3 linked regions of the Tribolium castaneum genome follow. The protein of the gene in region 3 binds, or shares a complex with, the protein of the main gene of each other region. Links are inferred from orthologs where the notes say so. Each region holds a gene or a part of one and is shown on either strand. Other genes may lie near its edges.

Evidence for each region.
Region 1: Prim2 (region 3) and PolA1 share a complex: the UniProt entries of both Drosophila melanogaster proteins name them as parts of the alpha DNA polymerase complex. The link is inferred for Tribolium castaneum from reciprocal best matches to the Drosophila melanogaster genes Prim2 and PolA1.
Region 2: Prim2 (region 3) and Prim1 share a complex: the UniProt entries of both Drosophila melanogaster proteins name them as parts of the alpha DNA polymerase complex. The link is inferred for Tribolium castaneum from reciprocal best matches to the Drosophila melanogaster genes Prim2 and Prim1.

Annotation. Positions count from the first base shown.
Region 1 is NC_087398.1:9,861,045-9,868,434, reverse strand, and holds the start of PolA1 (DNA polymerase alpha catalytic subunit), read right to left. Parts: upstream 3,966-7,390; 5' UTR 3,829-3,965; coding exon 3,813-3,828; intron 3,758-3,812; coding exon 3,560-3,757; intron 3,508-3,559; coding exon 3,326-3,507; intron 3,275-3,325; coding exon 2,005-3,274; intron 18-2,004; coding exon 1-17. Other genes in the region: NADH dehydrogenase [ubiquinone] 1 alpha subcomplex assembly factor 3, read right to left, coding at 4,196-4,535, 4,583-4,641, 4,692-4,818, 4,871-4,923; zinc finger protein ZFP2, read right to left, coding at 5,169-5,590, 5,829-5,959, 6,013-6,407, 6,526-6,683, 6,736-7,105, 7,157-7,303. UniProt on the Drosophila melanogaster protein: Catalytic subunit of the DNA polymerase alpha complex (also known as the alpha DNA polymerase-primase complex) which plays an essential role in the initiation of DNA synthesis.
Region 2 is NC_087395.1:25,581,639-25,588,863, forward strand, and holds Prim1 (DNA primase small subunit), read right to left. Parts: upstream 3,690-7,225; 5' UTR 3,543-3,689; coding exon 3,440-3,542; intron 3,396-3,439; coding exon 2,870-3,395; intron 2,816-2,869; coding exon 2,402-2,815; intron 1,993-2,401; coding exon 1,799-1,992; intron 1,745-1,798; coding exon 1,725-1,744; 3' UTR 1,666-1,724; downstream 1-1,665. Other genes in the region: uncharacterized protein LOC659605, read left to right, coding at 1-238, 287-1,655; aldo-keto reductase family 1 member B1, read right to left, coding at 3,810-3,849, 3,900-4,160, 4,208-4,455, 4,648-5,019, 5,068-5,208, 5,260-5,292. UniProt on the Drosophila melanogaster protein: Catalytic subunit of the DNA primase complex and component of the DNA polymerase alpha complex (also known as the alpha DNA polymerase-primase complex) which play an essential role in the initiation of DNA synthesis.
Region 3 is NC_087395.1:23,552,733-23,560,051, reverse strand, and holds Prim2 (DNA primase large subunit), read right to left. Parts: upstream 4,455-7,319; 5' UTR 4,222-4,454; coding exon 3,505-4,221; intron 2,798-3,504; coding exon 2,281-2,797; intron 2,228-2,280; coding exon 2,058-2,227; 3' UTR 1,937-2,057; downstream 1-1,936. Other genes in the region: ras-related protein M-Ras, read left to right, coding at 1,209-1,301; RRP12-like protein, read left to right, coding at 4,731-5,501, 6,009-6,251, 6,305-6,534, 6,586-6,862. UniProt on the Drosophila melanogaster protein: Regulatory subunit of the DNA primase complex and component of the DNA polymerase alpha complex (also known as the alpha DNA polymerase-primase complex) which play an essential role in the initiation of DNA synthesis.

The DNA of each region.
Region 1 (7,390 bases), on a different chromosome or scaffold from region 3:
GTCCGGACAGTAAAAAACTGAAATTGGAAATTAGATACAGTGGATGGAGCAGACTAGATTTGATTTAAAGTGTGATGCAATTTGCCGCTTATAACGAACTTTTGACCAAAGTATTTGATAGTTGTGTAGACTGAGCCGTTCCTATACGTATGAATTTAATTAATTTCAAATTTGAAAAAAAGACAATAGGGAAAAAGATGCATATTGCAATCAATAACAATGCATTTATTTTGTTTTATTTTTTTTGTGCTCCATAGTGGAAAATAAATGTTAAATTTTTAAATCACATACAATGTGATGTGAAGTGCACATTTAATTAATTTAATTTAATTAAATAAAAAATGTTTTAAAACAAGAAGCGACATTTTAAGAAACAATTATTATAATATTTTTCTTCGTCTGTCCAAAAAATGGTATAATAATGGTGTAATTTTTTAGCCGAACTATAATAACTTTATATTGTACTTTTTTGTCTATGACAAAATTCGATTCTTCTGTTCTCAGCTTCGTACATCGTTTTGCGGCTTATTTGTAACGTGAAACACTAAAAAATTTTGAAGTCAAAGTATTTACACATTCCCTAAATGCTACATTATAATCAGTAGCATCAAAATTAATTGCTTTTTCTGTAAATTCTCGAATATTTTTAGTACGTGGTATATCAAGAGCTTATGTAATAATCCTGTTATTAATTATATGAATGAATTATTCTATAAAATGTAGTAATTTTGGTATAAAACGAGAAAAGAACGGTAATATTGTTGACTATAGACTACTTTTATTTCATTTTTAATAAATTAGATCAGTTATTATGTATTTATTAAAAACCCATTCAAGAAAATATAATTTTTTTTGCAACAACTTAACCGGTAGAGGATAAAATATGTCAACCAATTTTTTTCTTCTTTGACACAGAGAATTAGAATTACTTTATTCGAAAGTTTACATAATGATTAGGCAGTGACATTTAAGTGAATGAAATTTGGTGGTATCTTTGCCAAAAAAAATCAATACAATTTTTTTTATAATTTTTTATGAGGGGACTCATGTTTCTGAGGCTGTGTTTGTAAATTTTAATTCAATTTAAAAGATATTAAAGAACTAAGCTTAATTAAAATTTCATATTTGTTTAAAAGTTTTGTTAATTCCAAATTTATTCGCGGACCAAAACTCTAAGGGAAAATAGCCTATATTGTATTACTTCAATTGTACCTTTGCGAATTTTTAAAGAACAAGTGCTTATATTAACCTTTCAAGATTGTAATTATCACCGGCAGAAAATAATTAGACAGTGTATTCTATTTTAAAGCCGTAGCTATAAATTTTATTGTGTTATTAACGAAAGAACAAATTTTGGACTTAACAATGAAAGCCTGCTCCAGTTTTTCCTAAGGGTTTTTGCGCTGTTATTTCAAATAATGTACAATGCATATTAATAATCTATCAGTTACAATAGTTTAGCGTCCTTTTACCTATACATTATACAAAATCATTTTTAACTTTACCATTTAAGCTGTAATCTCTTTTATTTGTTTTCAGTTTCGAAAAATGTATCACTGCTTGGTTTCCTAAATTATCGCGTTGTTATTCTATGGCGATCATTGCAAAAGTGTCTAATTTTGTTATTTATAACATTCCAAGTTTCTCTCCAGGAGAGAGTTGAAAGATTATTTATTTGTTTATAATTGATTTAACACTAACACATGTTATTTGCATTAAAATGTACACCTCATTTAGATATATCTCCAGTTAAAAAATATATTTCTTCAAATTAACGAAAAAATTAAAAGTATTAAACATATCAACCTACCAAAGAACATTTTTTTCATGAATCATATAAAGTATTTTTCTCAGAATTTGCCAAAAAACAATTTCACTTCTTTTGAGCTCTACTATCAACTTACAAAATTTGCACAACTATGTTGTTTCGCAAAAGATTCATATCGTCAGATGATAAATTTTCTGAGTTGCACTGTATTGAAAAAATTTATCGGACAAACTTACCACAGCAGTGCTTTTGGAACGCTTCAGTAGGTGCTTGTTTATCAACGGAATAACTAACATTAGTGACAAGACTCAACATCACGATTTCGTTTAATCCCGTCTTGGGATTGAAAGCTCTTCTCATGTTAAGAGCAGTGACGACCAACGGTGGCGGTTCAATCGCCTCCTCACATATTGTAACATCGGTTAATTTGTCACAATTTACTTGCAATTTGCACCAAGTCGAGGGATTCGATTCCGGTATCGGATTCGCGATATTTAACCAACAGGGCCCTTTAATTTTACGATCGAGTAAAAAAATCTCGAGATATGAACTCTCGCTCCCAAAAACACGCGAAAACGTCCGCCCTTTGGTGGTTTTATCAATTGGGGGATCTGTGGCCGCATATCTAACTTCGACATAGTCCGATTCTGACGGAACTTCAAGATCGAAAGCGTACTTTTTCGTGACGGGTCGAGCTTTGAAATTTTTGATTCCTTTGGTTTTCATCAGTTCGTTGATTTCGGCGTAGACGTCCTGAGACGTGACCGGCTTTTTGGACTTTTCCTCTTCCACTCTGGGTAAGAAAAAAATCCGCCGGTCGATGTTACGGATAATTACGGTACAGCTCACGTGGGTTTTCGTTTGAGTGTGGTAGGTTTTGCCGAATAAAACCACAACACCCGGTTTGATAAATGGGTCTTCGTAAGCGTCCCACCAAAAAAATCTGAAAACGCTTTTGTCGTCGATTTTCACGAGAGGAATGTCGGAGTTTTGCAAGTCGATTGTGGTTTCGGTGTCTTGGGATACGGACCATTCTTTCAACATTTCGCTTTCAATATTTTCCCACAAATCTTGCTTTTCTTCAATTTGGGGTTTGGATTGCTCTGCTTCAGACTCTTCTAGTTGGGACAGATCCAAATCGTCATCAAAACAGCCATCAGATTGAGTTTCAGCAACTTCTTCACAACTCGCTTGAGTTTCTGCAATTTCTTCACAACTCGCTTGAGTTATTTCTGGCTCCAGTTTATTTTCCGTTAAAATCGTTTCTTCAGTCGGCTTTGCGTGATTTTCCTCCGTTGATATCTTAAGTGGTTGTTTCGCTTTCGGTGTTCTGCTGAGAGTTATTACTGGTTTTTTGATGGAAGTTAATTTCCTCATGTAATCTTTTTCAGCTTGTTTTACCGACAGTGGGGAAAAATTCGATGTTGCGGCCTTGGATTCACGTGGAGTTTCATTAATTTCTTGTAAAAGTTCCGCCAAATCATCATCCTGATCCAACTTTTTTTCCTAAACACACATTAAGCTATATTACGTTTTGATCGTAAAAAATTAACAGACCTCTTTCTTTTTTGATGGCATATTCGAAATGAGGTATTGTAAGTTCCCGCGACCTGCATTTTCCGCCACATTTTTCTTACGTTTAACCCCCTTATTTTTCTTGGAAGAAGCTGCAGCTATTGAAGCATGATCCAAATCATCATCAAATATATCCCGACCGTCTTCTACATAGCCACTGCCGTCTGTTAAACGAATTACTATTAAAATCTGAAGTGTTTTAACATAAAAAAATACCATCATCAACGATCCAGTCGTCATCCTGACGATCTAACACTTTTTTGGTGTATTCTTTCTCATCAACAGTGTCGTAAACATTTTCGAGTTCTTCGACTTCGTATTTATTTCGGAGGCCACTTTTCAATTGCTTAAATTTCTCGAAAGCTTTAGCTTTGTAAGAGGAGTCCCGCTTTTGCCTCTTGGGCCTTCTTTCGGCTAAAACGAAAGATGCGCTTAGTTTTTAACTAAATATTATTTACTTGTGACTCACAGGTATCGTCTTCCATTATCACTATTAGAAAAACACTACAAACAACTATTTACTGGTTTTTAGAAAAATAAAAAATTCACATTGACTTGGCGGGAAAACTTTAATTCTAACCTCACAAACGTGATAGATGATAGTAGTGTTTTATTTGTTTTTATGTTGGCTGACATATTTACAGAATTAAATTTTTTTAGTTTATCTACTGGTGTTTATCTTAAAAATAGTTCATGCGGGAAAAGTTTATGAAACCTTTAATCCAAATAAAAACTTGTTGGGACAATTTCTGTGAAAATTAATTGAAAAAACATAGGTATCTAGTGCTGGCATCACTGCTCATTTAGGCGGTTTCTTTCAAAAAAAAAAAAAACTAATTCGGCAAAATTCCTTTATTCTCTTTCGTACAAATTCTGGTATCTTAATTTGGTTTGCAGCACATCATCCTCAGTGGTAACGACAGTTTGTGGTGGTATTAGCGCACCAGCTACATGTCTTCCTTCAGAACTTAAAAAATTAAACGTTGCACAAGCTTGTTCCGTAGGAAGAATTTCAAATGTTAATTTGTGTTTGCGTGCAAACGGTACAATTTTTTTATAGAAACTGAAATCTTTTTGTGGATCTCCTATTCCTAAAACAATTATATCTAATTTGGGTTCTAATATGGTAAATAACGAAAGTGATTCATCTGTAATTTCGTTGATGTCGCCAACATTCCATGAAAGAACTGATCTAAAAAAACGTTGGTATAATTGTGTTCGATAACACGTTACGTATACTTTGGAAATATTACAACGGAGCCTAAAATCGTCAAATCGTTATTTAATCTAAAACCCGCCTAGAAATTAAACAATCAGTTTGTAATTACGCCACGGAATTGAATAATACTTGACTGAAGCCGTTTATCATTAATCCCACCTCGTCCTCATTGTTTAATATGTTTACGGTTGTTTTTCCTTCACCTTCGTAAGCCCCCGGTGGAGCGCTTAATTTTTTACTGCCGTACAAAAAACGTCTAAAACCGAAAAAGCGTCACAAGACGGTTAATTACCTGAGGTTTTATTAACCTAATCGTATGATTTGTTGCTAATTTGAACAAACTGACGCTTTGTTTAAACATTTTTCTGGAAATCAGAGGTTATGTAATTTGAACATCTGATAAAATTTTGGCGGGAAAATTAAAAAAGTCAGTTGTTATTAAAATTGCATTTATTTAGGCAGTACATAATAATATTTCACCAACATAGTCCCAAGTTATTAAATACGTGTTCCTATGTGTATAACTACTAAATAGACGCTACTTTATACAATATAATCTCACTGAAATGTAAAGTTTAGTAAATAAATAAATAAAGTTTAGGTACGCTATGAATGCGTTTTCATGTGCGTGGATAGGGGCCCGGTTTGCGAAAAAGCTTTATTACAAATATTGCAAGTGTACGGTTTTTCCCCGGTGTGTATTCTAAGGTGTACTTTTAAAGTTGAAGCCTGATAAAAGCCTTTTTTGCAAAAAGGACAAATATGGTTTCTATCCCCAGTGTGAGTTTTTATATGAATGCGTAAATCTTCGCTTCGTGGAAATGCCTTTGGACATAGATTGCACTGGTATGGCTTTTCGCCAGTATGTATTCTTCTGTGTTTTTTTAATTGAGACGAACTGACACAACCACGGCCACAAACGCTACAAACGTAAGGCTTTTCGCCGCTGTGTGATCGCACATGGACTGTGAGTCTCGACGGATCAGGAAAACCTTTACCACATTCGTTGCAAACGTAAGGACGCTCACCTAAAAACAGACACAATGGACAAATAATATTTGCAATTGCACAAGAGAGGAAATTCACTTTGCTTCTGTGAAAAATGTGTATATTATTTTTGCAACTCGCTTTATAGAAAATGATATTTTACTCCCTAATTCCTAAAAATCTCTCTAGGGAGGTAAAGATATATTTTGCACCTTTAGACTAGAGAGCAAAATATCATTTTCTATGAAGCGAGGTGGAAATAAATGCAAGTAAACCAACCTGTGTGCGTCCTTTTATGTATGGTCAGATTACTCGGTGTGGTAAAACCTTTGCCACAGTAAGGACAAATGTGGTCTTTAACGCCCGTGTGAGTCTTCATATGCATTGCAAGAGAACCAGAACCACACAACCTATAATTTTTTTTTCGTAAATTAAAGTATTATTTTTACACATGGTTTGCTACCTTTTGCCACAAACCCCACAAGCGTGGCTTTTTATGCCACTATGTGTCTTATTATGCGCCGCCAAACTCGTATAACGTGAAAAGGCTTTGCCACAAACTGAACAAATGAAACTTTTTTCGTTCGCATGCGCCCTCATATGCTCCAACAGACGAAAAGATTGAGCAAACGATTTGCCGCATAATTTACAAGGAAAAGGCTTTTCACCAGTGTGTGTTCTTATATGTCTTGTAAGATCATCCGATCTCGCAAAACCTTTGCCACACTCACTACACAAATGCCGTTTTGCGCCATCATGTACTTTCATGTGTCGACACAAAGTGCTCGCACTTGCGAAACCTTGATTACAGATTTTACAAATGTGTCTGCTAATTTTCGGATGTGTTTTAGCATGGGCCTGCAATTTTTTTTTTGAGAATTTTTACTGAAATAGTTGAAACACAGCTTCCTTGATCAGTGAAGACAGATTTCAATGTAGCTCCTTCATTGATCAAGGGACTGGTTTGCAAAATAACCTTCAAATCGATCATTGTAGTGAAACACTGAGTGCATTCCTCACATGGATAAATCGGTTGTTCAGTGTCGTCTCTAATTTTCTTTTTCTTTGATTCTCTTTTAGCTCTCAGTTCGTTTATTTTGCTTTCGGCATCGCTACCACACGAATCTGGATCAACTGACAAAAATGTGAATAAAGTACTTAACAAACATAAGTTTCTTCTACTTACTTCCTAACACGTCATTGTCCACAAACTCCAGTTTCATTTTCATGTCTTGGGACCCTTCCGACTTGAAAGAATCCCCAACGTCTATGCTATTCACTGTTGCAACTGCGCTACTAAAAGCCTCATTTACGGAATCTGTTACGGCCTGTATATTTTCCGTGACGGTATTTATAACATCGTTAAATGAAGGTTCGTGTTGATCACTAGACAATAATGGTTTTAATTCCATAAAAGTGGCCTGCATGGGTTTGCCTAGGAGTTGCCGCAACGTTGCATCTGATCTCTCGCATAATTGTTTAAATGAAAAAGCACGAGTTATGTAATGAACACATTGTAAACAAACTTGGTTGGGCAATCCGTCGTTTTCCAAAACCTACAGAGAAACATTGAAAATGGGGCACAAGGGGGACCACCTTTGATTTACCTGCACTGCAGCACAAGACATTAACATTTCAAACAAACGCATTGTTTCGCCGATAGATTCGTCAATGCTAAATACCGAACGCATGTCACCTTCTTCCGAAAGGCAGGTTCTACATATCTTTTCGATTTGGAGTGTTTCGAAAGACATTTTTAAAAAATCGTTTGTTTATTAATTTAGGTTATTTCGATGATTGGCAGACATGTTGCGCACAGCATAAACCAAAGAAAGCGTGTT
Region 2 (7,225 bases), about 2.0 Mb from region 3:
CTAACAACAAGTGTTTGATTCCGGACTTCTCCCAAATGTATTTCCAACAATTCATGTACTCAATCCCCAAGAAATACACACCGTGCAACCGAAAAAACTACCTCACTTTTGTGACAAAAAGCGAAAATACGGCCACTCTGCACGTCAAGCAACAAAATGGGTTTTACCCCGAAGTTTCCTGCTGTTATTCGAACATTTCACGAAACTTTGACCGAGTAAATCCCGACGATACCATCAAGTAAGAAATTTGTTAATGGGGCAAATTTTTAATTAATTAATTTTGTAGAATTTCCAAATGTCGGAAGTTTACGAAAAATGTGACTTTGGCCACTGACTTCGTCTTGGTCAAGTGTGACACTGGTTCGGTACAATACAAACAAGTCCATGCTGCGATCACGGCCAAAAAAACGACCAAAAATTCCGACATTTGGCCACCACCTTTCAGTGTCTTGATTCTAGGAATCGACAAGATTTCGCGCCTAAGTTTCATCCGGAATTTTCCAAAAACCCGTCATTATCTAACGTCGAACAATAAGTGGGTTTCTTTGAACGGCTACGCGAAAGTGAGTGACGACACTTTCACCAACATTTTGGCCCTTTTAAGCGGTTGCAAAACCATGGAGTGTGATTTAATTTGGTCCGAGTTCGAAAAATACAACTACACCACAGCGTTCGGTGAAGATGACGTGTGGTCAAAAACTTTCACCTTCCACAAACAACTCACAGATTACTACTTCCGGCCCTATTTTATCGCAAACGAAAAATACCCAACCGTGGAACTCAATAAAATGTTCCCGTGTCCAGACCGCGAAACGCCCTTTGAACGCCTCCTGGACCTGGCCAAAGACTTTAGTGTCACGTTCAAAAACCACCCAAGTTTCGCCCTTTTCTGGATCAAAACGGCAACTGTGGGAACCTTCCCGAAGCTGGACTACTCGATCCGGGCACTTTTCCGGCACCTGAACCGGAAAGGCGTGTTCGCGAACACGTTCGTGTTCTTCCTGAGCGATCAAGGGAGGCGTGAGGGGAAAAACGAGTTTACAAATGTGGGCTGGTTGGAGGAAAAACTGCCTTTCGTTTATGTTCTAGTCCCGAAAAAATTCCAAGAGATTTATTCCGAAGAGTTCAGGTTTTTGAAACTTAAGCAAAACGAGTTAACCACTCCGTTTGATCTGTACATGACTTTGCAAGACATTATGGTGCTGACTCAGGTGAATCAGGACCCGAAACCTAGTCAGAGTTGTCCGAGGTGTGAGTCGCTTTTTATGGATGTTACGGAAAAGTCGTGTCTGGATTCGGAAATTGAGAATAGGTCTTGTCCCTGTGATGGGTTCGTTTTGACGAATCTTGACGATTTAGTTGTGAGGAACGCCTCACTTTTTATTGTGAATAAAGTAAATGAGTTTGTTGATCAGCGAATGTGTCGGAGTTACGAGTTGAGGAAAGTGTTAAGTTCCAGTGCTTCCTGGAGTTCGGGTTACAAGAAATTACTAATAAGTGTCCAAACGTACCCCTATTCAGTTTTTGAGGCGTTTGTTACGTATGTTGATAAGGTTTTTGAGCTCGATGGTGAAATTAAAAGGCTAGATTTTGCCATTGTTAGGTGTGTTAGTGATTCGTTTTTGAAAAAATATTGTGTGTGTAAGGGTAAATAAAACGATAAAATTATAAATGTTCATTTATTTCGTAATCAGTAACAATGAGTAATAAAAAACGTAAACTAATTAATATTCCATTACAGTTCCTGGAAATTCAAACAATTAATTTGTGTTCGTTACATCAAGGCAATAAAAATCACCATTTTTTATGGCCCTGTTTCGGGCAGCTGAAGCCTGCAAGCCTCTTAAAAACTCGCAAAAAATTGTAACATATTTGAGTAAACTTGTCTTCTTGTAGTCTTTTATTTTAACACTGGTTTGGGAATTTTCCGCTAAATCTTTCTCCTGAGCTTTGGTTTTGGCATCGTAGGTGTTTATCTCGTCCAAGAGTTGGCTAAAATGCTTCCTGAATAAACTGCACGCCACACAAAATGTGCCACTTCTTATAATCACTCAGAAACCATTTTTCTCGGTGTTTGTTAAGAAAGCAAAATGCTCTGTGAATACTAAACTGCACACCGGAAAAAATGTGCCACTTTTTATACAGAGTTAGTGCATTTTTACTGTACCTCAAACACTAATAATCACTCAGAAACCATTTTTTTTTTCTATGTATGTATTCTTTTATAATCAAAATTACTTAAACAAATATTCGCCAGCCTCAAAAAAGAGACCCTGTATATTTCCGTAAAAAATCGGGCAAAAAATGTGAAAAAATAAGACACAGTTTCGGGCAGAAGTATAACAGCAACACTTGTATAGTATTCAAAGTGGTACATTTTCAGTGTCGGGCAGTTAATTACCTGACTGTGGGTACGGCATCTGGGTCAAAATGCTCGATGAATTTGGGCTTAAAAGGCACCGAAACTTTGCCACTTTTCGGGTGAATGCAAAACGGCGCTTTCAGCAAGTGATTTAAGCTTTTGGTGACGTTGATATCAAGTCGCGGATACGCATAGTAAAATTTCATCTCCTCAACCATGTATCTGTAGTGTTTTGGTATTTTTTGCTCTCTTTGTAACGTCTGAAAAGTGTTAACAAAAGCCTTCCAGCGCTCGACCGAAGTCTGAACTTTGGTCATTGCGTCTCGAAACAAAGGACTAAAACCCTCGTCAATGTTGCCCAAAAAAGCGTCCAAGCGCTCATAAGTCCCTAAAATGTCCTGTTCGACAAGAATCGACTTTTCGAAATATTCATCAATGACTTTTAAGGCCCTCCTTGAATTAACCAATTATTACACAACTTGGGAGCAAAAATGAGGAGATAATTACTCAGTGGCCGCATGCATGTTGAAAAACTTGACTTTTCGTACCACAAGGCCCCCTCGCAACAAAGTCAAATATTCAGCAATAGCCGACCGTTGATTATCATCCAAGATCCGGGCCTTTTTATCAGCCACCCAACAATGGATGCCTCTCCGACCCGAAAACACCCATAAAATGTTCTCAAAACCGAAGTCCTCCCGTAAAGCCCCATCCAAAATCTTGCACGCAATCACCATAAACTTCCAGCATTTGGGGCACACCCCAGCTCCCGTACAACAAGTCCGAACATCATCATAATCAGTCATATCGATATCAAACACAATCTCTCGCTCGACTGGTGTTTTGGAGCTAGAGTAACTTCCAGACGACTCAAGTCGCTGCTTGTAAATAGCCCCAATATCGATTTTAACCGGGAAGCGTTTATGGAGCGCTTGGGCAAAGTCCTCCGCATTTTCGAAACTCTGGTAACGGAGGTAAATGTCTCCGACTAGAGTGAACGAAATTTCGCGCCGGTTGGACACGTTGGGGTCACCTGAGGGGCTCACTTGACCAAAATCGAGCTTGGAGGCAACTTACCGTAGCAAAGCCATTTGTGGAGCGCTGTATGGGGGAACAGACGCTTGTAGTAGATGGGGAGCAGGTCAGGGAGGCTGTCTTCATTGTACAAAGAGGCACTCATCACGCAAAACACAGTGACAACTTTTCCCGCCAAAAAAAGTGAGGTTGTGTCGCAATTGGTTGCGAGCTTATGCAACCAACATTACGTCATTTATTTTTTTATTTAAATTTCGTTGCATAATGATCGATATCATCAGTGTGTAAAAACATGAATTTGCTATTTATTTGATTATTTATTAAGTAAAGGGTAAAATACAACATAATCATTTTATATCATGGGTTATGCAACCAACATCCGGTCACATTGTAATGTTTCAATTAAAAAAGCTCATTTTTGTGCGAACGGGAAATCGGGGTGTTTATCAAGTCTAAAATAACCAAAGTAAGGCTAAAAACTGACTCTGTGATTATTCTTTACCCTCCAAAGACCTTAAAATCGCAAACTCTGGCCGCCTCCCCCACATTTAAACCATACAAAGTTTTCATCTCATCGTCACTCAACACAAAATCGAACAATTTTCGATTTTCATCGATTCGTTTCGGCGTTACACTTTTAGGAATAACCGCAATGCCCCTCTGAATCAAGAAACGTAACGCCACTTGAGCTGGTGTTTTTTTGTGTTTTTTTGCAATCTCACTAATTTTTGCATCTTCCAAAATATTTGCCAACTGTCTGGGTCTGCAAAAAAGTGTCTAGAAATGAAAAAAAGGGCGCAAAAATCGTACTGTTGGCCCATTTTTTGCAAAAACTTGTTCATGCCGGGATTCCCCAAAGGAGAGTAGGCAATAACAGCAATTCCGTTTTTTTGACAAAATTCTACAAGTTCGCGTTGTTGCAAATAGACGTGGAGTTCGACTTGAAGTGCGGCGGGTTTAATTTTTGCGTTTTTTAGCACGGTTTCAATTTGAGAAATGTTGTAGTTTGATAAACCGATATTTTTGGCCCTTCCGGCATCAACCTGCTCTTCCATTTTCTACAAAATTTACAACAATGGGCAAAAAATAGCTACAAGTTGTGTTAATTCGTTCATAATTAATACTGTTTAAAGCACGAACGAGCAATAGCGAGTGAGCGCATCAAATAGCCCACTATTTTATTCTGGTAAAACGGTGGTAATTCGGTAATTGATAAAGCGTTTTTTGTGTTAAGTTATTTTTTTTCAAACCTTCCACAGGGCGACGTGGTCGGTCTTTCCCTCAGTCTCAATCTCCCCTTTATCGTTAAATCTGGGCCGTGCTTCCCCCTCGTAATAAGTACAACCAACGGGGAAATGAATCAAGTACAAATCGACGTAATCCAATTGCAAATTCGTCAATGACTTTTTTATAAACATGTCAACCCTGTCTGGGTGAACCCCCGTCATCGGAAGTTTAGTCGTAATAAAAACGTCCTGTCTTTTCAAGCCGGAAGCAAAGCGTTTTTTCAACACTTTCCCAATCGCCGCCTCATTTTCATAAACCCAAGCTGTGTCAATGTGCCGATAGTCTAAATCTAGGGCGTTGTTGACCGCAGTTTCGATTTCTTCATCGCTTATCGCCTGATTGATAAAAAATGAAATAAAAAAAATTTGATGCCAATAACCCACCTCCCAAGTCCCTAGGCCCAAAGCCGGCAGTTTTTGCCCACTTGGGAGCTTCAAATACAGTTGCGAGCCCATTTTTGTATAAAATAACGCAGAATGGAATTGCTGACAAGTATTGTCAAGAATTTTGTTAAAAATGCGAAGCTACAACGACAGACATTAAAAAAAAACGGAGATTTACTCACGGAAAAGTACCAGTCTTAGACCACTCGTGAGTTTGTTCAACATGAGAATAAATTAGAAAAACCTTGAAAAAATAACAGCTGAAAGGTTTTATTGGCTCTTCCGTGTTTATGTTATTACATAAGGTGGAGGTTATGCAACCAGTTATAAGTACAGTCGACCAGAAATTAAATTCTTCGGAGACACTCTCTTTATATTTTTTCAATTACAGCTAAACTATTCAAAAAAGTAAAACTATTTTTGTAAAATGATCTAAAAAATTAACTGGCGTCAAAAAAAACGCAAAATACCAAATAATTTTTTAGATTTTTTTATTTTCACCAATTTTTGTTTTTATGAGCAATGTCCGAGAAAAAGATAGATAATTAAAAGAGCTTTCCAACGATAATAAACTCAATAAAGTTGCGTCCAATAGTTCCAGGGTTATAACTCGATAAATGTTCCGGGTACCGGAAATCGATCAAAATTATTACAAAAGTTGAAACAGTTTTTTTTTTAAATAAAACTTCTTAACGTATTCTTACAATTTTAAAAACTCTAGAAGTTTTCTTTACTACAGCAAAAGAAAAATATTTTTTGACGTGACCATCATAATTTTAGCCAAAAATAAAAAAAAATAATTGTTGTAACAATAGGCTAAAAAACACACCATCAAATAATGTAATAAGTGTTTTTGCACTATTAATAAAGAGCTTTAAAGGCAAAAACGAGTAAATTATTACTATGACACGCAACCAGCGATGCAAGAGTGAATTAATAGTGGCCGACATTAACAAAAAAAGTTTTTGTATTATTTTTATTTATCGGATGCAACTGATAATGCACATTTGACCTTGACTTATTTTAAATAAATCATGTTTATGTAATTATAAATTCAATCAAATTAATTATAGCAAAGATAAAATTAATTAGTTTCAGTAATTTACCTTTCAGCACTTGTGGAAATGATAAATTTTTTTCTTACGATTTGGAAATAAGTAAGAAATAAATTATACAATTTAATTAAGATAAGAGTGGCAAAATGAATAACCTTTAATCAATTTGGAAATTTTGATTTAAATTCAGCCAAGTAAAATTCCAATTTATTACGAATCCTCTTGCATCAAGCGAATGGTAAATGTAAATGTAAAAATTTGCCTTGAGCCAAAATTAACATTTACGACCAAACGAACACAATAGAACTAAGCTTTATTTTTGTAAAACTAAAATAGAAAACAATTAATAAAAATTTAACGTATAATCAGTGATTGTGAGTGTAGAAGATATGTTTTCGTAGTGTAGTGGTTATCACGTGTGCTTCACACGCACAAGGTCCCCGGTTCGATCCCGGGCGGAAACAGTCTTTTTTTTTTTCGTTTTAACGCATTACCAATCATTTTGTAAAAATTCTCAAACGTCCTCAAAGAGTTAAAATAACAAAAAATACAATTGGGGACTTGGTCGTTAAATAATATAATACCTCCGATGTCCTCATTCTGTTCATATGGCGAAACTTCCGACTGGAAAACATTAGATAAAAGTCACTTACAATAGAAGTAATTTAAAGTTGAGATTACGCCCTATTTCAGTGTTTACACATCCGGAAACCTCTTAAAAACTTTGAGCATTCCACCTAATGTGGCATAATTACACAAGAGCCGCATTAAAAACTTGGCAATTTTGCAGAAAAATGTCTCAGAAAGCGAGTCCCTTGCCGATTACATCTATTACAAGTTTGCAGACTATTGATTGGGTCCGAGTTATGGGCGAAATTAGATTAACCCGCAGCGAGCGATTCTTTTCACAATAGCGGCCCACTTGCAACTTTTACTTTTGTTTAGCAACTAGTAATTATAGTGAAATTGTTTGAAATTTTCTCGAATTGGAAAATTGCACAACAAGGCATGGGTCGCCGATTAAATCAGTTTATAGCCGAAAACAAATTAAGTCATGGAGGGTCAGCAGATAAACACTTAGCTAACGTTCAAATCTCAGTTTC
Region 3 (7,319 bases):
TCTAAAATGACCAAAAATTTACCTTTTCTAAGCGTTTATTCAGTAAAAATTCAATTATTGTACAAGATTTCCTAAAAAGTAAGCCAATAAATCACAGAAATATGTCAAAAATGACATTATTTTGGCAAGTTCTGAAGATTTAAACACGTTTTAGATCAAAAATCAAGTTTTTTTCCTTTTTTTATTAAACTAGAACGAAAAAATCACCAAATTTGGTCGGAAATGACCAAAAATTTACCTTTTCTAAGCGTTTATTCAGTGAAAACTCAATTATTGCGCAAAATTTCTTAAAAAGTAAAGCAGAATTATGTCAAAAATAAGATTATTTTTGCAGGTTCTGAGGATTTAAACACGTTTTAAGAACAAAAATTAAGTTTTTTTTAAGTTTTCCCCTATTTTTATTAAATTAGAACGAAAAATCACCAAATTTGGTCGGAAATGACAACAATCCATCGATATTTTTTCATTTTAAAAACGTATTCTAGAAAGATATAGCGAAACTTGCAAAGGTGACACACATAATCGTTATTGAAAGACTTAACATTAATTGGCTATATAAATTATTTAGAAAGAATAAAATAAAACAGTTTTAATAATTTTTTACAAAGGGTTTTATCGTTCTTTATTTTGTAAGAGGCATCTTTTTAATTTTTTAAAAGCGGGAAGTAATATAGAATTTTTATGTATGCACCGGTTTCAAAAGTAAAAAAAATAATTAAATAGTTTTAAATGTAGTTTTCTAAGCTGGTGCTTTTAATTTCATTTCATAATTTTTAGTTTTTTCGGTACAAATATGTGCAATATATTCCATTTTTACCAAAACTTATTATTTAAAAAAATTAGCAAATTGGAAAAAGACTACAAGTTCGATTATTTTGCATTTTTTTCACTTCCTTGCTAAAAATTGTAGAATCTTAAGCACACTTGTACGTATTTACATATTGCATCTTTTTATGACTCCTGCTTTCACATTTATTATCTTCTCAACGTTTACAAAAACTATTACCGGTACGGAATTTGTCCCAGTTTCTACAACTTCTTTTATTTTTAATTATTTTATTTTGTTTTGTTTTTAATGTTCACAATTTCGTTCATGTTCCTGGTATTCTTTATTTACTTAAATTTTGTGTTCCTCACTGTTCTGTACTTATAAAAGTGTAGATTTAAAAAAAATGTGCCAACACCATAAATTTCGGTGTTGTTTCCAGGTTGTGCGCATTATAAGGAATCAGCCGCAGCCCGACCACGAGAAGCAAAAGCGGCGGAAGCTCAGCAAGCTTGGAAAATGTATTATTATTTAATTTGCTTTTCTCTATGTTAACAGGCCTATTAATTGTATCCTATAGCTTTAAAGTCAAGTGTTCAATGTTACGTGTCATAGATTATTGTATTCTCTGTATGATGAGTCCAAGGCAAACTACATCATGTTTCAAGAGGACCAAAAACTGCTCATTTTGCTTAAAATTGGCTCCCGATGGTACGAAAAACACGGCACTAATTTATTTCAGACCTTCAAAACGACATTGTGATATTTTCGATTTTTATACATATGTTTAGAGGGATGAAAACAGTAGTCTTGTTGACTTGTATTATAACCCGCTCATGTTTTATTTGATAACCGATTTAGCTATTTTTTAATACTAGGCGTTAATCTAGAGTTTCAGCACGGGCTTCAAGTATTAGCCAAAGAAACGTACAGTTGTTAGGTCAAACAATTGAATGACTCAGTTTTATTTACCAAAGTTATTTTAGTAGAGATAGCTTAAACTCTAGATTACAATATGTTTTTGACACTTTATTACGAATGTAATCTTTTGTGTACGATGTGTTAATAAAATTTATTTGAATGGAATTTTTGGGCCATTGAAGTCACGAAACACAATTATTATTCTCCAAAATATTTATTTAACTATAAAATACAACGTGAAAGCATGTATCAACAATTAAAGTCTTTGGGACTTTATTAAAACCAAATTAAAAAAACGGATGCAATTTAGACTGAAGGGTAAATATAAAATAAATTATTAAAAAATAACGTTTAATTGTAGTAACAGATATTATTTCTTATTGCCTGAAGCTCCTTTTTCAATATTCATGCTCTCTTCAAAATACTGATTAGGGTGATTAATTCCATTTCCCAGCGCTTTTCCGTGAGTGTATTCGAAATATTTTCCACAAGCTAGTTGATAATGACCATCAGAAACAAGCTGCTTGATTTCATTAGCACCTGTAATAGGTACAAAAAGTACTTCATTTAAATAAAAAAGTAAGCCAACTTACCATCAACGCTCACACCACATTCGATAACTTTCTGCTTAACAAGATTAACATCCCAGTGCTTAAACGGACAGCCATGGTGCTCCCCAGGCCCCACACTACTCGTAATAATTTTAACACAACTGTAGGGCGAATAACTGGCCCTTTTCCCCACCAACCCATACATGTGTTTGATATTGTAAACGTAACCCTTCTCAAACTGATTCAAATCCATTTTTTTCGTGAACTCATCCCTCCAAAATTTGAGCGCATCTTCGTACAAAAGCCCGATAGCTTTCAAGAAAAGACCGTAAGTTAGACGGCCTTGGTGTTTATGGTGGTGTTCAGACCGCAAAACCTCATGCATGTGTTTCATGCAGAGAGGGAAGTGTTTTTTAGCATATGTGTCCAGATCTGCTGGATCGACACTTTCGTGGTTTTCACGGACTCGGTAATTTTGGCCCGTGTGCAAATTGTGGAAATTGGACAAAAGGGGCCCAATACGCTCGTCGTCGAAAAGGTGGATGCGGTGGCTGTACCACTGAAAGTTTCGAATTGGAGTTATTTTAGAGCACGACGAGCGTAGCGAGCGAGTGCCTTCAATAGTTGAGAACATAAGCGCCCATTTCGTTTTACAATAAAATATAAAAAAATCATCTTACGTAAAATAGAATATAAGAAAAAATTTGGTTATTAATTTTGGTTCCACAAGCTTTATAACACTTGTCTAAATATGATTTTTTTCTAAAATAGCAGGAATTAAATGTTTAAACATCAAAATCACAAATTGTTAAACGGTCAAGGTGGCGTGTGTCGAAATAAAAATCGTAGTCACGCGTGCTGTGAAAATTTCATAGGTAACTACCAATTGTTGCTGAAATTTACAAAGCACTCTTGACCACGTTTTTATTGGGGTGCTCAGTTTTAAAACGAAATAGTAAGTCCATAAAAATAAATAAAATATGCAGTCGATCTCAAACCATACATCACAGTATTTTTAAATTAAACTGCTGGATTTCAAACCTGTCAGAGTGCAAATGTTAAACGTTTTAAAAAAAAAATTCCGTTTGATGTTTTATTGTTATTGTAGAAAAAATAGGTTTCAGTTAATAATAAATTTTCGGTACTTATAACAAAATTCTTATAGCATTTATAGCAGAATATTTTTAAGATACGTTTATAATTTCTCTGAAAATGACTAAAATTGGGCTTATTTCGTTATATATGTTTTTATATAACTAGACTTACAGTTAGCTCTTCGCTTAATTCAGCCCTGAACTTCGACTGGATGCAGACCACCAGCTCGCTGGACGGAATATAGGCAAACCCAGCCTTAAGAAACACTTTCCGGCCCCTCACCAACGAGCAAACTTCAGTAAAAGGCACTTTAAAAAATTCAGTCTCCTCGAACAGAATCAACCCCGCAGTTGACGCCTCCAGTTCATGCCTTAGCGAAACCTTCTCCTCCTCCGAAATAGGAGTATATGAGAATTTATAAATTCGTAAAAAATTCTTGACCCCCTCGCGCGACTGAGCCGTGAAACGAATCCAAAACCACTCGAGTTCCCTGCTCAAAAACCACCGTCGCAATTGCTCCGAGCGGCAATACGCCAGCCGGAGGATAAAGTGTGAGAGGTAATCGGCCTTGCGGGCTTGGTAATCCAAGTCGCTCGTGCCACTGGTGCCCCCCATCAAGCGCACGTATTTTTTCAACCCTGCCTTGGCCAAGTCGTCCTTAATGCACGTCTTCCACTGGTCGCTGTACAACCGGTTGCCTTTGGGGGCCGCTTGCTCGATAATTCGCAGCAATTTGAGCCGGTCCAGGGCGATTTGCTCGAATTCCAGGATGGAAATCTCGCTTTTGGGGCTTTCGCGGTACATGCTCACGTCGTGGGGGTACAGCTCGGAGAGGGGCTCCTCGGCGGTGGCTTTTCGCACCGTGCGGCGATACGACGTGAAATCCATGGCGAAAATTCACAATTTACAGTGTTTAGTTAAAACTTAACTCACTTAACCTCACATTTAAATGGTATCCCGCCAAAAACTGGCACCAATATCTGGGGACTAGCTAAAATCACTGCCCGGTTTTTGGGGGCAAAACCAACGCTCAGATATTTTCCAGGTGTGGCGTTCCACCCCGTGTGGCATTTGAAACAATCAAAAAGGAATAATGAGTCGAAATATTGGGCCAAATTAATTTAATTTGAACTTTCTTGTAATTTTTTTATTTCACGGTTGGTGAAAGTGAAACCCACCACGTGTGGCAAAGTTAAATGTCAACTATCAAGTTTAAATAAGTTTTTTTTTGTGTAAATATCAACATTATCTAAAACCAATTGCTGTTAATAAGTGGAAAAACGTAAGTTTTTTCTGCTTTTTGTCAATACAATGCGTAGATTTGCACCAGTCGATAAAAAACGGCACGTGTCGTTAAGTGAGGTTATGTTTTTTTGATCTGTTTTCCTTTAGCAAAAATGGGGAAGTTCCGGTCCAAGCTGAAGGGCCAGGCCAAGGGCAAGCGGTGGCCGAAGGGCCAGAGCTCGAGCTCGAACCCCGAGACGCACAAGTACCGTGATTTGGCCAAATCGCGTTTCTTTCAAGAAAATCTGGGCTCGAGCGGTTTAACGTCTGAGGCTTTGCGCAAACACGATGCAGTTCAGGCCTTCAAGCCGCGGCCGGACCCAGAGCCCATGGGCGTGGACGAGGATGTGGAGTCGTCAGTTGGCACCTACTCCTCGTACAAAACCATGGAATCGTTTGCGTCCGAATGGTCGAGTTACAGCAACATGTCGTTCACCCGCTTTTTGAAAGTCTTCCGGGCCGATTCCGCCCTGCATAAGGAGATGCTGGCGATGCTTGCGGCGATTAGCGAGGTGATTAGGGAAAACGGGGGCTCTGAGACGGCCACTGAATATTATTGTTCGCTGATAACTGCACTTGAACGTGTGTATGAGGGGGAGGAGCGCAGTGAGGAGCAGTTGACGGCGGCGTTGGCTTTGCTGAATATGGGGATCAAGACGGTGCCAGAGCCGGTTTTACGCCGGACTTTTAGCGATTTATCGGCGAAAGTTTTGCACATTCTTAATGATTACGTCGATTCTGATAATAATACGATCGTTAAGTCGATTTTTGGGATTTTGGGGACGCTTCTGAGGAAACAGGAATTGATTGTTTGGACTAACGAAGCAACGGTTAAGATTTTTACCTCGATGTTGAACCCCTTTTGTCTTCATACGAAACCAAAAGTGAGGCACACCTGAGGTGGATTAAGTGGACTGGGGTCCAAAAATATATTTCTACTACGTTTCAAAAATTAATCTCACAGATTTTTTTTTATTTTAATTACTTAATTAGTTAATTAAAATAAAAAATATTTTTGGCAATTAAATGGCAGCACGTTTAATTGAATTAAGTTGCCATTTACTTGAAAATGGTCGACAAACTTTAACGGGACTTTTTCAACATTCGAGCATCGTTAATTTTTTTCATCCTCTCCATAATAATTTATTAATTTTAATTATATAAAGAATTGTCGATAAATAAAAAAAATCATGCTTAGGAAAAAAGTTATCCAATCGTAAACCCTGGTTTTTTGTGTCGTTATTTGTTTTTGAAATACAGCAAAAATATATATAATATATAATAAAAAAATAAAAATATATAATAATACAATTTTAATAAAAAACAGGTTCGCAGGCCCTTAATCCACCTCTGAAAAATCGTAAAAACTGTCCCTAATTTGTGATTTTTAGTGGCGTAAAGCAGCCCAACAAGCTGTAATTTTAGTCGTAAAATCTGACTATTTCACCTCAACTAACACGAATATTGCGGCTGATAAAATCGCCGAATTTTGCGAGCAAACTTTAGACACTTGTATGGGAGGTAATTCGGGCGCTATTTTAGTTTCTTCAATACAGGCAGGTCAGACGACCATTTTACACACTCTGGGGTTGTTGAAAGACACAATTTGTAGTTTTTCAAAGTCGCACATGAAGGTACAGTTGTTTTTTTAGCTGCGACGATAATACGATTTTTTTTTTTTTTTTAGAAATGTTGCGAGATTATTTTAAGATTGATGACTCTAAACTACCCAATCGTCACGTCATGTGGCCTACAGGTGCTCCATGCGCTTTTTTCGGCCCAAACGGCTGTGGTTCCCCCAAAATTGAACGCCCAGTTAATTTCAGCGTTGTACGAATACCAGCCGGCTGCAGGTGATGTCCAGCCGACTTTAGCCTGGTTGGCTGTGATGCAGCAAGCGCATGTGCATTTGGCCGAGTCGGTGTTTCCCCCAACTTTTTATTTTTTTTTATTTTAAATTTTTTCTAGTGTTGATTTGGCCGCATCGTGTGCAGCGTTACCGAAAATTTTCGCAACAATAAGTCAGTTGTGGCTGTCGGAAAAAAGCGAAATTATGACTGCAGCCACTCATGCCTTGGAAAATTTACTCAAAGATGCTGTTGGTCCAGCTTGTGCTATTAAAGAACAAGTGGAACAGTTTAGCTCGAAAATTAACAAGTGTTTCAGTTGTGTTGAAGCTGGTCTTGGGTACCAGTACCATAGTGTGTGGCATCAGGTTCTGCATTTGATCGCGGTCATGTTTGAGGTAAAAAATAAAAAAAACAATAGTTACTTATTTATCAAGGCACTAAGTTCATTACGTGGGTAACGGAAAATTATTAAATTTTAAAAATGCTTGCAGATTTAAAACCGAAAAGTTGTAAAAAGATACATGTTAGCTATTCTACAAAAAAGAAAATTCATAAATTAACAGAAATGTACGATTTTATTTTTCAGCGAGACAGTTAAAAAATTGCTGCCAGATGAAACTGGAGAATTGTTGATAAATTAGGTTTGAAATTTTCTGTTTTTTTTCAGTGACGTACTAAATTAGAAGATTTGCCAAAACAAAGCAGAAATCGAATGCATTGTTTTTTGTTAATTTAGGAAAATTTTAAGCGAAAGACTGATGATTTGCACTAGAACAGATATATTTTAACAGAAAGACAGAAAACTAAAAAAATAAATAAAAAATAACAAAAAAACATTAAAATAAAATTAAG